Linked DNA regions of Nothobranchius furzeri. The protein of the gene in region 1 purifies or fractionates together with the protein of each later gene. This does not show direct contact. Links are inferred from orthologs where the notes say so. Each region holds a gene or a part of one and is shown in the gene's direction. Other genes may lie near its edges. The genes, in order: H/ACA ribonucleoprotein complex non-core subunit NAF1, nop10 and nhp2.

What was found.
Region 2: the proteins of H/ACA ribonucleoprotein complex non-core subunit NAF1 (region 1) and nop10 purify together in Homo sapiens (co-immunoprecipitation; 6 studies listed by BioGRID and IntAct, with this or other methods). This does not show direct contact. The link is inferred for Nothobranchius furzeri from reciprocal best matches to the Homo sapiens genes NAF1 and NOP10.
Region 3: the proteins of H/ACA ribonucleoprotein complex non-core subunit NAF1 (region 1) and nhp2 purify together in Homo sapiens (affinity purification with western blotting; 3 studies listed by BioGRID and IntAct, with this or other methods). This does not show direct contact. The link is inferred for Nothobranchius furzeri from reciprocal best matches to the Homo sapiens genes NAF1 and NHP2.

The regions. Positions count from the first base shown.
Region 1 is NC_091747.1:73,481,849-73,486,025, forward strand, and holds the start of H/ACA ribonucleoprotein complex non-core subunit NAF1, read left to right. Parts: upstream 1-1,288; 5' UTR 1,289-1,357; intron 1,358-1,717; 5' UTR 1,718-1,732; coding exon 1,733-2,289; intron 2,290-2,403; coding exon 2,404-2,530; intron 2,531-4,177. UniProt on the Homo sapiens protein: RNA-binding protein required for the maturation of box H/ACA snoRNPs complex and ribosome biogenesis.
Region 2 is NC_091742.1:80,334,379-80,338,039, forward strand, and holds nop10 (H/ACA ribonucleoprotein complex subunit 3), read left to right. Parts: upstream 1-1,268; 5' UTR 1,269-1,396; coding exon 1,397-1,450; intron 1,451-2,348; coding exon 2,349-2,489; 3' UTR 2,490-3,092; downstream 3,093-3,661. UniProt on the Homo sapiens protein: Required for ribosome biogenesis and telomere maintenance. Part of the H/ACA small nucleolar ribonucleoprotein (H/ACA snoRNP) complex, which catalyzes pseudouridylation of rRNA.
Region 3 is NC_091750.1:25,734,398-25,738,831, forward strand, and holds the start of nhp2 (H/ACA ribonucleoprotein complex subunit 2-like protein), read left to right. Parts: upstream 1-1,520; 5' UTR 1,521-1,633; coding exon 1,634-1,796; intron 1,797-1,866; coding exon 1,867-1,936; intron 1,937-2,136; exon of another isoform or gene 2,137-2,170; coding exon 2,171-2,276; intron 2,277-4,434. UniProt on the Homo sapiens protein: Required for ribosome biogenesis and telomere maintenance. Part of the H/ACA small nucleolar ribonucleoprotein (H/ACA snoRNP) complex, which catalyzes pseudouridylation of rRNA.

The DNA.
Region 1 (4,177 bases):
TAACTTACACCTGTAGACACTCAATCCAACAATTTCCTAACTTTTTCAGAAAGTATTTCCAAAGAGCTCTCTTAACAAAAGTTAAGAAATAGTGAAAAAACAAAATAATTTGCTGGGTTAAATTTTACTGCTGGCGGGCTGGTTCTGGCTGACAGAGATGATTTGGGTGTCGGTTGTCTTTTTTGTTGGGCTGCACATTTTGGATCTGTTCTGTTAATGTGGGCTTTACCTCAAAAGAACCTTGAAATCTCATCTCTAAACAAGTCCTATTTCACAAACCAGGAATATATATATTGCTATAGATAGATCTATATAATATAATAGGCTATGTATACTTTAATTTACTGTAACTTACAATTAAATGTGTTATCTATGAAAGATTAAATGCTTTGTGGAGTGAAATAACAGGCATTTTGGGGTCAACCCCATCCTATTTCATAGACACATCTCTGGCGTTTATAACAAATCAAACGTTTTGAAAATCAGTTCAAAAATTGAGCAAGTTAGAGTCGTTTAAATAGTACATGCACCATACACCCCAATGTCAAGAAAGGGGACAGCTGACTGAGGTAAGATGGCCGCCACGTTCCTACGTCGCATCCCATTGGTGAACAGCGGGGACGAGGCATCTAGTGTTTACAGAGCTATAGACAGAGCATTGTTTATTTCTATAGTTCTGAGTATTTATATACATATTTAAGGTTACACTCTCTCTGGGGCGTCTACGTACGCTTGAACCTTGGACGCTTTCTGGACCACAACCCCGCACATGCTTCGTCTTAATGAACCGCGCAGCTCTCTTGCGCATACCCGGAAAAATAGAACTCCTCGTGCGGAGTAACACGTGCTGCGTTCACTTCATCACCATTAGAAATTCCTATGTAGCGGAAGACTCTCCTGCTTTCAAAATAAAAGATTTCAAACACTTGGCTCGGCTTGGACTCGGTTGAAAGGGGAGGTTTGGATCAAAAACTTTTCTTTTAAATCTCTGTCCTCTTTGTAGTATAGTAAAAACTGTATTTCAAAAAAATGTGATACTATAGCATGTTTTGGGTCAATAAAAATAACCTAATATTTTTACCTTGACTGTGTTAGAATGCTTTAAAATAAAAATTGTGAACTGAGCTACACTGGGCTGTAGTGATATTTGACGATATTAGTACAGCTTAAACTAAAGAACAAAAAACTTTATTTGGACACCGATTTCACAGTTGATTACGTCTAGATTAAGTCCACAAATTGAAGTCCGCTTTGCGTTAAGCTTTTATTTTGAAAGAAAGTTAAGGAAGTGTCCTGTGATTCTACGGAAGCCGTAGGAGTTTTCAAGGGTTCTTCCGGAAATTCACTCATCAAACAGGTAATGCTAAAGTTTTTCTTACACGTTTAAACTGCTTTTGGTGACGTTAACTGCGTGTTCGTGCTCGCTCAGCATTAGCCATTCGTCGCTCGAGCTAAACGTGGATGCTAGCGTGTTTGTCGTGTTCCTTTATGTGAGGTTGCTGGCTTTTCGGCCAGATTTTTAGAGAAGTCTCAGACGTCTAGGTTTAAGTATTATTTAGATGTTGTTGATTTCGCTGTTGGTTAGCTTTCATGGTTGCTTCCGAGTGTCAGAATTACTTTTTTTTAATGAACCGACGGTGATCGCTTTATGATGCAGCATAATGATATCTGTTTATTATTCTGTTTGTGTGTGTTCTTAATTATCTGGTTGTGACAGTTTAACATAGCTAAGATGGACCAAAGCCATGCAGAACAGCATGAGCAGAAACCAGCACTGGGAGAGCAGGAGGAGATGGACATCACCATGGCAACACAGTTAGAAAGCCTCATCGTGTCTCCACATGTTGCAATGGCAGCAGGAACTCACATGTGCAGAGAGGACACTGCATCAGCAGCACTGCCTGTGGAAAGCGTGTGTGAGACAGCAGGACCAGGTCCCGCTCACACTCAGTTAAGTGTGTGTGAGACTCCTGGACAAAGTTTCGCTCACACTCAGGAAAGTGTGTGTGAGACAGCAGGACCAGGTCCCGCTCACACTCAGTTAAGTGTGTGTGAGACTCCTGGACAAAGTTTCGCTCACACTCAGGAAAGTGTGTGTGAGACACCTGGACAAATTTCCGCTCACACTCAGGAAAGTGTGTGTGAGACGTGGGTAAATAGTCCTGTGACCCCAGATGACCCCATAGCAGCCAGCATTCAAACCCATGAAGAAGAAGCAGGAGGTGACCAAACCCAGGAGCCAGTGGGTGCTGTTTGTGAGTCTAGAGACTGTGATGAAGATTCAGACAGGTGCGCGCACACAAACACACACATCACTCGTTTAGCATCATTCCCTCTGTGTACTACATAACGCAACAGTAAACAGATGTGCTGATGCTCCTTATTTCCTTTGTTTGGTGACAGTTCCTCCTCCTCTTCATCTTCGTCTTCCTCTGCCCTTTCTGCCCTGGTGGTTGATGTTGATGTGGAAGAAGATGGAGGTTTCAGCCAACCAGTGCCTCTCAGAACCAGAGATGAGGTCTTGCTGGAGGTTGGTTTGTTTGTTTTGGTCCAGCTGAGGTCTTCTGTCCCACATTGTTGAAGTCTCATTAAGCCCAGTTTATGCTTCTGCTTCAGCTCCACGAGGCAGAGACGCACCCACAATCGATGTGTTTACACTACAAGAACTTCAGGGTAGATTTACAGGAACCTGCCGACGTGCGCGCGGCTCCACCTGACCGGGCCGTCCGAACGGCCATTTTTCGGACCGTTTTCAGGAACCATCTGAGTACCTGCTCTGGAGTAGGTACCTCGAACGGCCCGGTGGAGTAGCTGAGCGGAACCTCCGGTTAACTCACACTGATTGGTTGTAACTCATTTGGAAATGATATCAGCAGACGTCCAAAACAACCGGCAGCAGTAAAATTAGAAAAGCAGCTGGTGAAGCAAAATGGAAGCAAAAAAGAGCACCGATCGCATTTAAAATCTAACTCCCGACACCGGAGAACTCGGTGGAATTCCCCCACAGACTTAGTTAACGGGGCTTGTCTCACAAAACTCAGAGCTGCTCTCGTCCTCTGAATGGATTAAATTATGATGTATTCTATAAAATAAATGCTTTCAATATTATTCATGTTACTTTGGGCGCTTTTTGGGGCTGATCAGTGACATCACTCACTGCCAAACAGTGATACGCTGACGTCTGTGCGACTTCTGAAAGGGCTGGATTTGAATAGAGACACAACAGCTGAGAGGACTGGGACGTCCTGTCCCCTGGTCAAGTTCCCCGTCTCAGGAACTAGCCTGGACTTCTGGTAATGGAAACATGCCTATTGATGGAGACATTTTGCCTTCGGACTTCTCCGTCTCCCGGGGAGCGTTACAAAGCAATTCCCCGCCAGGACAACAGAGGGTGTAGCGCTGTTCTGGGGTATCCTGTCATGTATAGACCCTTTTACTGTTTGTAAACAATATGACATCAGCGCGAATGCGCGCGCAGCTTGGCAACAGAGAATGGCGTTGTTTCAGGCTTTATCAAGCTACGCTGCGGGGTAATCACCGGCAAATCTTGAATGTTATATTATTAAACTCACTTTAACGAATGGCAACAGACTCCCGGATCCCTGTGGCATTACGGAATGGGTGGAAGATGTAGGTGCGTGGCCAGAAATCCAGTGGCCCGATATGTATACATTTTTAGTGGAGAGGCCCAGTAAGTACACACGTGAGAAGCTACAGGCATACAAATCGTTAGATGCATACAACTATGTTGTCTGTGGCCACGTACAGAAAGTAAAATATCACGACATAGACTCTGAGTTTTGCATCTTGAAGGCAGAAGTCCTTCCTAGCCAAAGACAAGGACACAAGACTGCTATGTACGAGGCTTGGGTCATAGTAAACAAACCAGAGAACTACGTCTTCACAGCCAACTGTACCTGCATGGCAGGGTGAGTATAGCATAGGTTTCTTTTTTTAGCGTGCTCAGAGTACAATCGTGTTAATTTTAGAGAAATACAGTTTATACTAATATGCAGTGGGAAAATACAGATGAATTAGAATGAAATGTTAATTTGAAGCATGAAATAAAGCGTATAAATTTGTTTAATTCTGTCATTTTGATGTTCCAGACTTGGGTCATGCTGCAGCCACGCAGCAGCAATTTTATTCAAAGTTGAGTTTTGTGTTAGGATGGGAA
Region 2 (3,661 bases), on another chromosome or scaffold:
ACATGTGAAGGAAGGTTTTGGCATGAAAACCTGTGCAGAACCAACCCTCTCTCAGACTTAGGAGGCTGCTTTTAAGTACCAGAAAAAAATAAACAAAGACAACAAGACTGAAGCAACAAGTACTTTGTAACACCGCACACTCGGCTAAGGTTGCAAATATCTCCTCTGACTTGGTTCTTTAATTGGTTCTTATATTAATTTAAAACAGCAATTTGAACATATTTGTTTCACTAGATAGGCTTAATGAAGAAAAATAAGTGTTCTCAGTGGAAAAAGATGTACCGGTAATAATTTAATGAATGAATTTTCATGGACTTACCTTTCTCGTTTGACATGAGTAGTTTATGGTGAATGCTGCAAAAACAGATTCCAACTTTATGTCTGTTTGAAAGTAAACATCATTATTGTTTAATTTTGAATGTGAGCTTTTGGATTTCATAATTCTGGAAGAACTGGATTTAAAGAGCAAGTCAACCCGTACCAGATTCTAACTCCACTCCCACTTCATGTTTGAAAAATGCAACAAATGCTGTTGCCTGGCAGACCGAGAGGGCGGAGCTGCTAACAAATACACAAACACACAGGCATTGTGACATCATAACGTACCAGTTTACATCATAGCATACCTCTTAGCCAATAGCGGTGGCAGATTTAAATTAGAATACAGTGCAGAATTTTTACCTGACAACGGCACAACACTGACAGTTTTAGGCAGAATATCTAAATTTTAACTAAGATGCACTGAAGTGCCAAATTATTGACGGCACATGTCTGCAGCACGATTAGACACTCGTTTATTTAGTTTATCAGCAAAAAAAGTTTATTTGGGGGTGACTTGTTCTTTAAATAGTTTTTATATTTTATTTGTTTTATAGCACAGCAGAATTTTCATGCAGATGTTCAAGAATGTGTTTGGTTGTTTTGGTTAAAAACACATTGTGTTTTGTTTTGAAATTGGACCAGTAAAAGTTACTCTGTTACTGATTCAGCTAAGGGCCAAAATACTTTATTTGTTCTCGGAAGAAAATTAAATGTTGTAAATCGATATTCAGAAACAATAATTATAACAATCTAATAAATATTGTTATAATAATAATCATCTCATATAATTCAAGATTCTTCAAAGAGTTGTTATAGATGCTGGTGGGTCTGTAAAACGTTGAGAGGTGGTTAGAATAAAGCATAAAAGTTCTGAAAATGCACTTTTATTAGTGTGTGATATTCAAAAGAGCCTAATTTGCGAGTAAACTCAGTTCCCCATGATTCCAAGCGGCCTGATCATTAAACCGGATATCCGACTAGAAAGTTCGTTGCACGTGGATCCACGTTTTCTAGCTTCCTAAAATAAAGTTGGATTTTTTAAAACTTATAAAGCTTCATATCAAGACTTTTCGTCATGTTTTTGCAGTTTTATCTTAACGAGTCTGGAGACAGAGTATATACTCTGAAGGTAATTTGTGTGTGTTGTTCGTAACATGTCTTCTCTCCTATCAGTTTCACGTTTTAGCTCATTACATTTAAATTTATTTTGTTGGAAAACGAAAAGTAACATCACGTGGCTTCTATTAAAACATAAAGGAGCAAGTCAAACCAAAAAAATCTCAAGATGTGTTATTCGTGTTGTTTTCACGTTAGCCTCACATGTAGCTAACATTGATAGCAACTAGTATCTAACATGGATAGCAGCTGAGCTAACAAAGCATGGCAATGCCGCTTTATTTATAAAGGCTACTTCATACCAGGCAATTCAAAGTGCTTTCCATGTGCAGCCAGCAAAATAGCGGCGAACATGGACAGTTGCAATTAGTGGCTAACGTGGAAAGCTTGTAGCGAACCAGTATAAACACAAATAGTTATATCCCAGATCGCCTTTGTGTGTTTTTGGACAAACACATTTGATTTTAGCTTCTGATTTATACCATATAAAAATCCTTTGCTTTTAATACGTCAATAACCGAAACGTAACAGTTTAAATTAATACGTCAATAACCGAAACGTAACATAGTTTAGTGAAAAATGCGTAAAATTTAGTTTTTACGCATGAAATAAAAAACTCTTTACATGTTTTAAAAGCTGATTGTACTTGCAACTGAATAGGTTATTACTGTAAATCAGAGTAGTGTTACAAGAAAATGAATCAAACATATGTTAGTGAGGGTTTATTTTATTGTATACCATAATAGCCATCATATTCTAAAAGGTGAATTTAGGTGTTACACTTAATTTCATCCACGTATCTTATTTCGTTGGTGAAATGTAAAAAAAAAAAGCTGACATATGCCTTTATTTTTCAAATCAGTGTTCTTCCCTAATGCACACATATTTCCCTTCATCTTTGCCTCCAACAGAAGGCATCTCCTGATGGGCAGCCCACCAGCTCTGCCCATCCGGCTCGTTTCTCTCCGGATGACAAGTTTTCCAGACACCGAGTGCAGCTGAAGAAACGCTTTGGCATTCTGCTCACCCAGCAGCCCAGGCCAGTCCTGTGAGGGAGCTGGAAAGAGTGGAGTGAGGAGGCATGGATGGATGAAGAGCTGAAGATGGCAACATGGATTTTGAAAGGACACTTGGTGTGTTGGACTTGCTGGTTTGGATCGATTACATGAGGTCTTTAGATTTTAGTAGAGGTTATTGTCATTTTTTATGCTTAAAAATGTTTGATGAATTTTCTTGAATACTGTTTGAATTCAGGATTTGATGGCTAATTCTCCTTTATTGCATACATTTAAACAAGTAAGGTATACTTGACATTGTCTGCAGTAAAATAATACTATGTTAGCTCCTATAACCTCTATTTGTATGCCAGTTTTATTTTGGGGGGGACGACGACATATAAGAAAATTTGAGTAGAAATAACATTTATTGTGAATATAAACTAGAATTTGAAATATAAGGTGTTTACTATTCAGTCATGGTGTGTAATTTATGAGCTGCAGACAGTTTCCCAGAGGTATTTTTGTTTGTGCTAAATGAATCTTGACTATTCACAAAACACTCAGTCAGTGACTGTTGAATGTCATGTTTTGGTTTCAGTAACATCTTGGACTAACTGAAAAGACAAAATGAACAGTAAAATAATTAACACCCTCAAAGCACACTTGTTATTTTGATCCATGTACTCAAAATACCCAGTGAGTGTTAAAATGTTGTGTTTTTAATGAAAAATTGCATCATTTTTTTCAACCTTTATTTTTTCCAGATAGTGTTTGATAATATTCTCATTTACAAACATCACCTGTCCGAGGTAATTTTGAGGTGCAGCGGAAAAACATTAGCTCATTTCAGCTATGTTGCTTTTTCTTAATATTGTTTAATTCGAACTTTATGAGCTAATATTTGCTAATTTATCAGTTTGAACATTTTAATGTGAAAATCTATTTCCGCGTGTTTTATGTTCAATATGAACTCATCCTTCTTGATGCAAACTGGTTTTGTGCTAAACTCAGGAAACTTGCTAAATTGTTGGAATAAAATAACGTAAACAACTTGTTTACGTAAAGACCACATCTCCCCTCACTATTGTCACTGAGTAAAACGACGCATGCGCAAACTTGCAACGGCAAGGGAACTAGGACCTGACGGGCTCACTTGCGTGAGTGTTTTTGGTGGGTTGCTTGGACGAAAAAGTGCAGAGAAAAAGCAGCACAGATGTCACCGGGAA
Region 3 (4,434 bases), on another chromosome or scaffold:
AGCAACACGATTTTGTATTGTATTTGTTATATTTGTTAATAAAGTTTTAAATAATGATTAAAAAAACCTTTTTGATCCTCGGGGGCTCCAATAGCTGCAATACCGACTCTAAACTGCGTGGTGCTAAAGAGTCGGATCTTTTTACTATGATTTCTGTGAATTTCACACAAGGGGCCTTTAAATGAAGCAGTGATTAACGGGCATCTGCAGCACTTGATGTCCTTCTGAAGAGCCGATGTAAATCAGGTGTGCTGAAGCAGAGACATGGACAACATCCAGGACAGTTGTCCCTGAGGACCAGGGTTGGGACACACTGAGGTACACTATGACATAAGCTGGTACTATATGATGTCACAATGCTGTTGTGAGCCTGTGTGTTTGTGTGTTTGTTAGTGGCTCCACCCTCTCACTCTGCCAGGCAACAGCATTTGTTGCACTTTTCAAACAGGAAGTGGGAGTGGAGTAAGCCTCTGGTAGGGGGTGACTTGCTCTTTAATGAGTTAACTAGCAACATTTTACAGATAATAATTATTGCTGTGTGGAATTTGTTGCATCTTTAAAATGCTTCGTAACATTTTTCTCACACACATTCCACTAAATCAGAAGTGAGATCAAAGAAAAGGTTTTTATGTGAGGGCGCACGGTGGTTGGGATGGGTAGCGTTCTGTCCACGTCCGTCACGGGCTGGGTGGGGGTTGAGCGGGTGCGCTTTGCCGACCTCCGGGGAGGCTTGGTACTGGAAGACAAGATGAACGGCTCTCTACAGAGACTCGGCTCTCATTGTTCACTTTGAAAACCAAAAGATTTGATTTGCTCGTGAATGTCACATCACTGCAGATAAATGAGTATGGAAGAAGAGGACAGAGCATCGTTCTTCTCCCAGACGGAGCAATAATCATACATTTGTGTCTCTGAGGACTACAAAGATGTCAGAACTAAAACAGACCACCAGCTGTTTTACATCCAGTGGTCTCCTTTAAAATGCAGCTGAACGCTCACCTGTTCAGGTGCTGCTACCTCTTCTTACTCGTTTTCTTTCTTCCCTCTCATTTTTATGTTAAATTTTCCATTTTCACAATTTATTATGTGTTTTTAATCATGTTTTAGTTTTGTTCTTGTGAAGCACCTCTTGACTCTTATCTTCAGAGGTGTTGCCCTTGTTCAGGCTGGCTTTTGTGTGACCTTCTTCACCACTCTCTTTATTCTGCTCTCCCCACCTATTCCACCTTCCTCAGGATCTTTCCCTATCTATTCACTCTCTCTCTCTTTCTTTACATTTTTTTAATCACAATTGTCTATTTTTTGCTCATTTTAAACATATTTTAACCATTTTCTAAATTATTTTTTTATGTTTTACACTTTTTTTTGTGAAGCGCCTCGTGATTTTCATCCTGAGAGGCGCTATAGAAATGATACTTTCTTCTTCTACACACACACACACACACACACACACACGCACACGCACACACACGCGCGCGCGCGTCTACAGGCCCTCTGTAGACTTTGCCGACATTTCCGCTCCTGGCCGCCGGGGGCGCTGTGGTCCAATGGTCCTGTTAGTCCGGGACAAGAGTTAAAACACGTGCGTGCTGGGTGAAAGCAGAAAGCAACAATCGGTTATTGATTATCAGAGATGACGAAGACGAAGAAGGAAAACGCGGATCCAAATGATTCGGTCGCATCGGCCGGTGGTTCCGAGAGGACCTACCAGGAGCTGGTCTCCCACCTGAACCCGATCTCTCAGCCGCTGGCCTCCAGGAAGCTCAGCAAGAAGCTCTACAAGTGCGTGAAAAAGGGTAAAAGACCACCGAGACCCGTTAGACCGGTGCTTGTGTCCCGCTTCTTTACCCGGTGTTTTGATTTCAGCTGCTAAGGTGAAGAACATCCGGAGGGGCGTGAAAGAAGTTCAGAAGTTCATCAAGAAAGGAGAGAAAGGGTGAGTTAGCTTCACGGTGCCCGGGTCCGTCCAGAACCTCAGTCCCCATTACTGTAGTGGTCCGGTCCGTCACTGTTTTCTGTCCCTCAGAAGAAGTTCCGCACTAATTTTTTTTTTATGTATTTAAATGTGAACATTATTCAGTTTTAGCGCATTGAACCATTCAGGACACCGTAGTCATCCGCGCGTTAGAACCTCACCTGTGCTCACCTGAACCCGGTCTGGTCTCTGCAGCATCGTGGTCCTGGCGGGCGACACGCTGCCCATCGACGTGTACTGTCACCTGCCCATCATGTGTGAGGACAGGAGCCTGCCGTACGCCTACGTGCCCTCTAAAACGGTGAGTGAGTGGAGCTGGGGTCAAAGGTCAGCAGGTGTTGTCAGGATTTCAGATTTCTCACACGTCAGTTTTAACCCTTGACTTCAAGTAAAACACACATTCTATGAGGTAAAGGGCTGGTGTCGTGGTTTTTAGATTCTGATTGTGTTAAACGTTATTATTACTATTATTATTACTACTATTACTAGTACTATTATTATATATGATATATGTGTATATATGATCCAACGGTTTTGATCTAAATCAGGGCCGTGTGCATATCTGGTCCATCTACACCGGGGGGAGGGGGTTCCACGTAGTGAGCTCAGAACGTCAGCGCTATAATGAATCCATGCTTCCGTACCACCAACGATGCTCGAGTGGAATCATCTCTATTTAAAGCAAGGCCCACAGGCAGACCCTGTTAATCGATACTAGATAAATGAGAATGGAAGAAGGTACAGAGCCTCGTCCTTCATCTGGATAGAGGAAGATTTACGAGGACTACAAAGACATCAGAACTAAAACATGCCACCAGCTGTTTGATCAAAGCTGGATAGCTGGAGTGTTTACAGGTTTCCATGGCAATGCCGAAAGTCCGCCTCAGCTCTGTTGCTGAGTTTTCATCATTTATATGTTGTTATCATGTTCTGCTCCAGGGTCTGGGTGTTTACAGTCTCGAGGACGTAGTTTTTGCTGAGCAGTAGTGGTGGTCACGTGACCTTAAAGTTGCCCGTTTGTCACAAGTATGTTTATGTTTATTTATTTGGCAGACGCTTTTATCCAAAGCGACTTACAATTTATAACCTATAGGGCGTGTTGTGATCTGTGGGGGAAACCGGAGTACCCGGAGGAAACCCGCGCATGCATGGGGCCAGAGTACAGCTTTTAACGCAGGGCTACTCGGTTAGATTTTTTGTTGGGCCAAATTATCATGAGGCTTTTGCCAGCGGGCCGTACATTTCCCCGTATCTCATATTTACCTATTAAAACAAAGTGCCGCTGCATTTTCAACAGTTTTATTGAAACAAGTCAAATGACATTAGGATTAACTGCTGGTTTTTAGTGAAAATAATAGAAACTGCAAAACATAGCCAACTCTGGTTTTAACAGAACTCCGAGTCACAAACTCAGTTACAGTACTTGTTTTCGCTTAAAATAAAGCCAAGAAAACATAACCAGCTGTAGTTTGACTGAAATCACGGTCACATAAAGAACACAGTAACGATAATTACAATGTCTTTTATGCAAATAAGAACAAACAAAACTTTCAATTAAATCACAAAATTAAACTACTGGCTTTTAAAGCATATAAATGAAAGAAAAGTCTGAGTCAACAACTCATAGTGACAGCACTTGCTCTGTGCTTAGTAAAGCGTAGAAAACAACCGGTTTAGTAGGGCTGGGGGTAAACGATTATTTTTAAAACGATTATTCTGATGATTATTTTATCGAATAGTCGACTATTCTAATGACTATTTAGAAAATTAATCTAATGATTATTTTTCTATTGCACAATTAACAAAAACCAGAAAATCTCAAATAAATTCCTCAAAAAAATTGATAAATTCTTACTGTAAGAGAATAAACACTACAGGCCTTCCATGCTTTTATTGTGTTGGTTGGTTATGTTCTGGTGACGTGTAGAACTTGGGAGTGCAGGCTGCTGCCTGAGAGGTGGTAGAAGATGGAGTGTCTCCATGCTGCTTTGTTTTGGTCACTTATGTGCGTGAGGCGAGTGGTCTTACGGGTTAAACCAAACTCAGGTGATATTTTACACTAAACCGAAAACCCACAACACTCTAAATGTAATAAAAGGGAGATCTGCACCACAAAAAAAGATGAACTCTAAACCAAAACGTAACAGCTTATCCCAACGCAAGAAGCTGTTAGCGAAGATGCTAACAGTAGCTTTACCAACGTTAAGTTCAAGTTACCAAGTTTAAATAAACCAAAAACACCCAGCAGCAAACAGACCAGCATGGAGGAGAGACCGTTACCACCAAAACAGCTCTCCTCATGTCTGAAAGAAGCTCCTTAATGAAGGGAGAAACGCTCCCGGTGATGTTCTACATCTGCGATAGACACGAAGCAGCGCGTCTGACCCCGGAAGTTGTTGTCCGTTGCCGGGAGACGAAGGGGCAAAACAGGAAAGGAATCTAGTAGTGGACGGACGTTG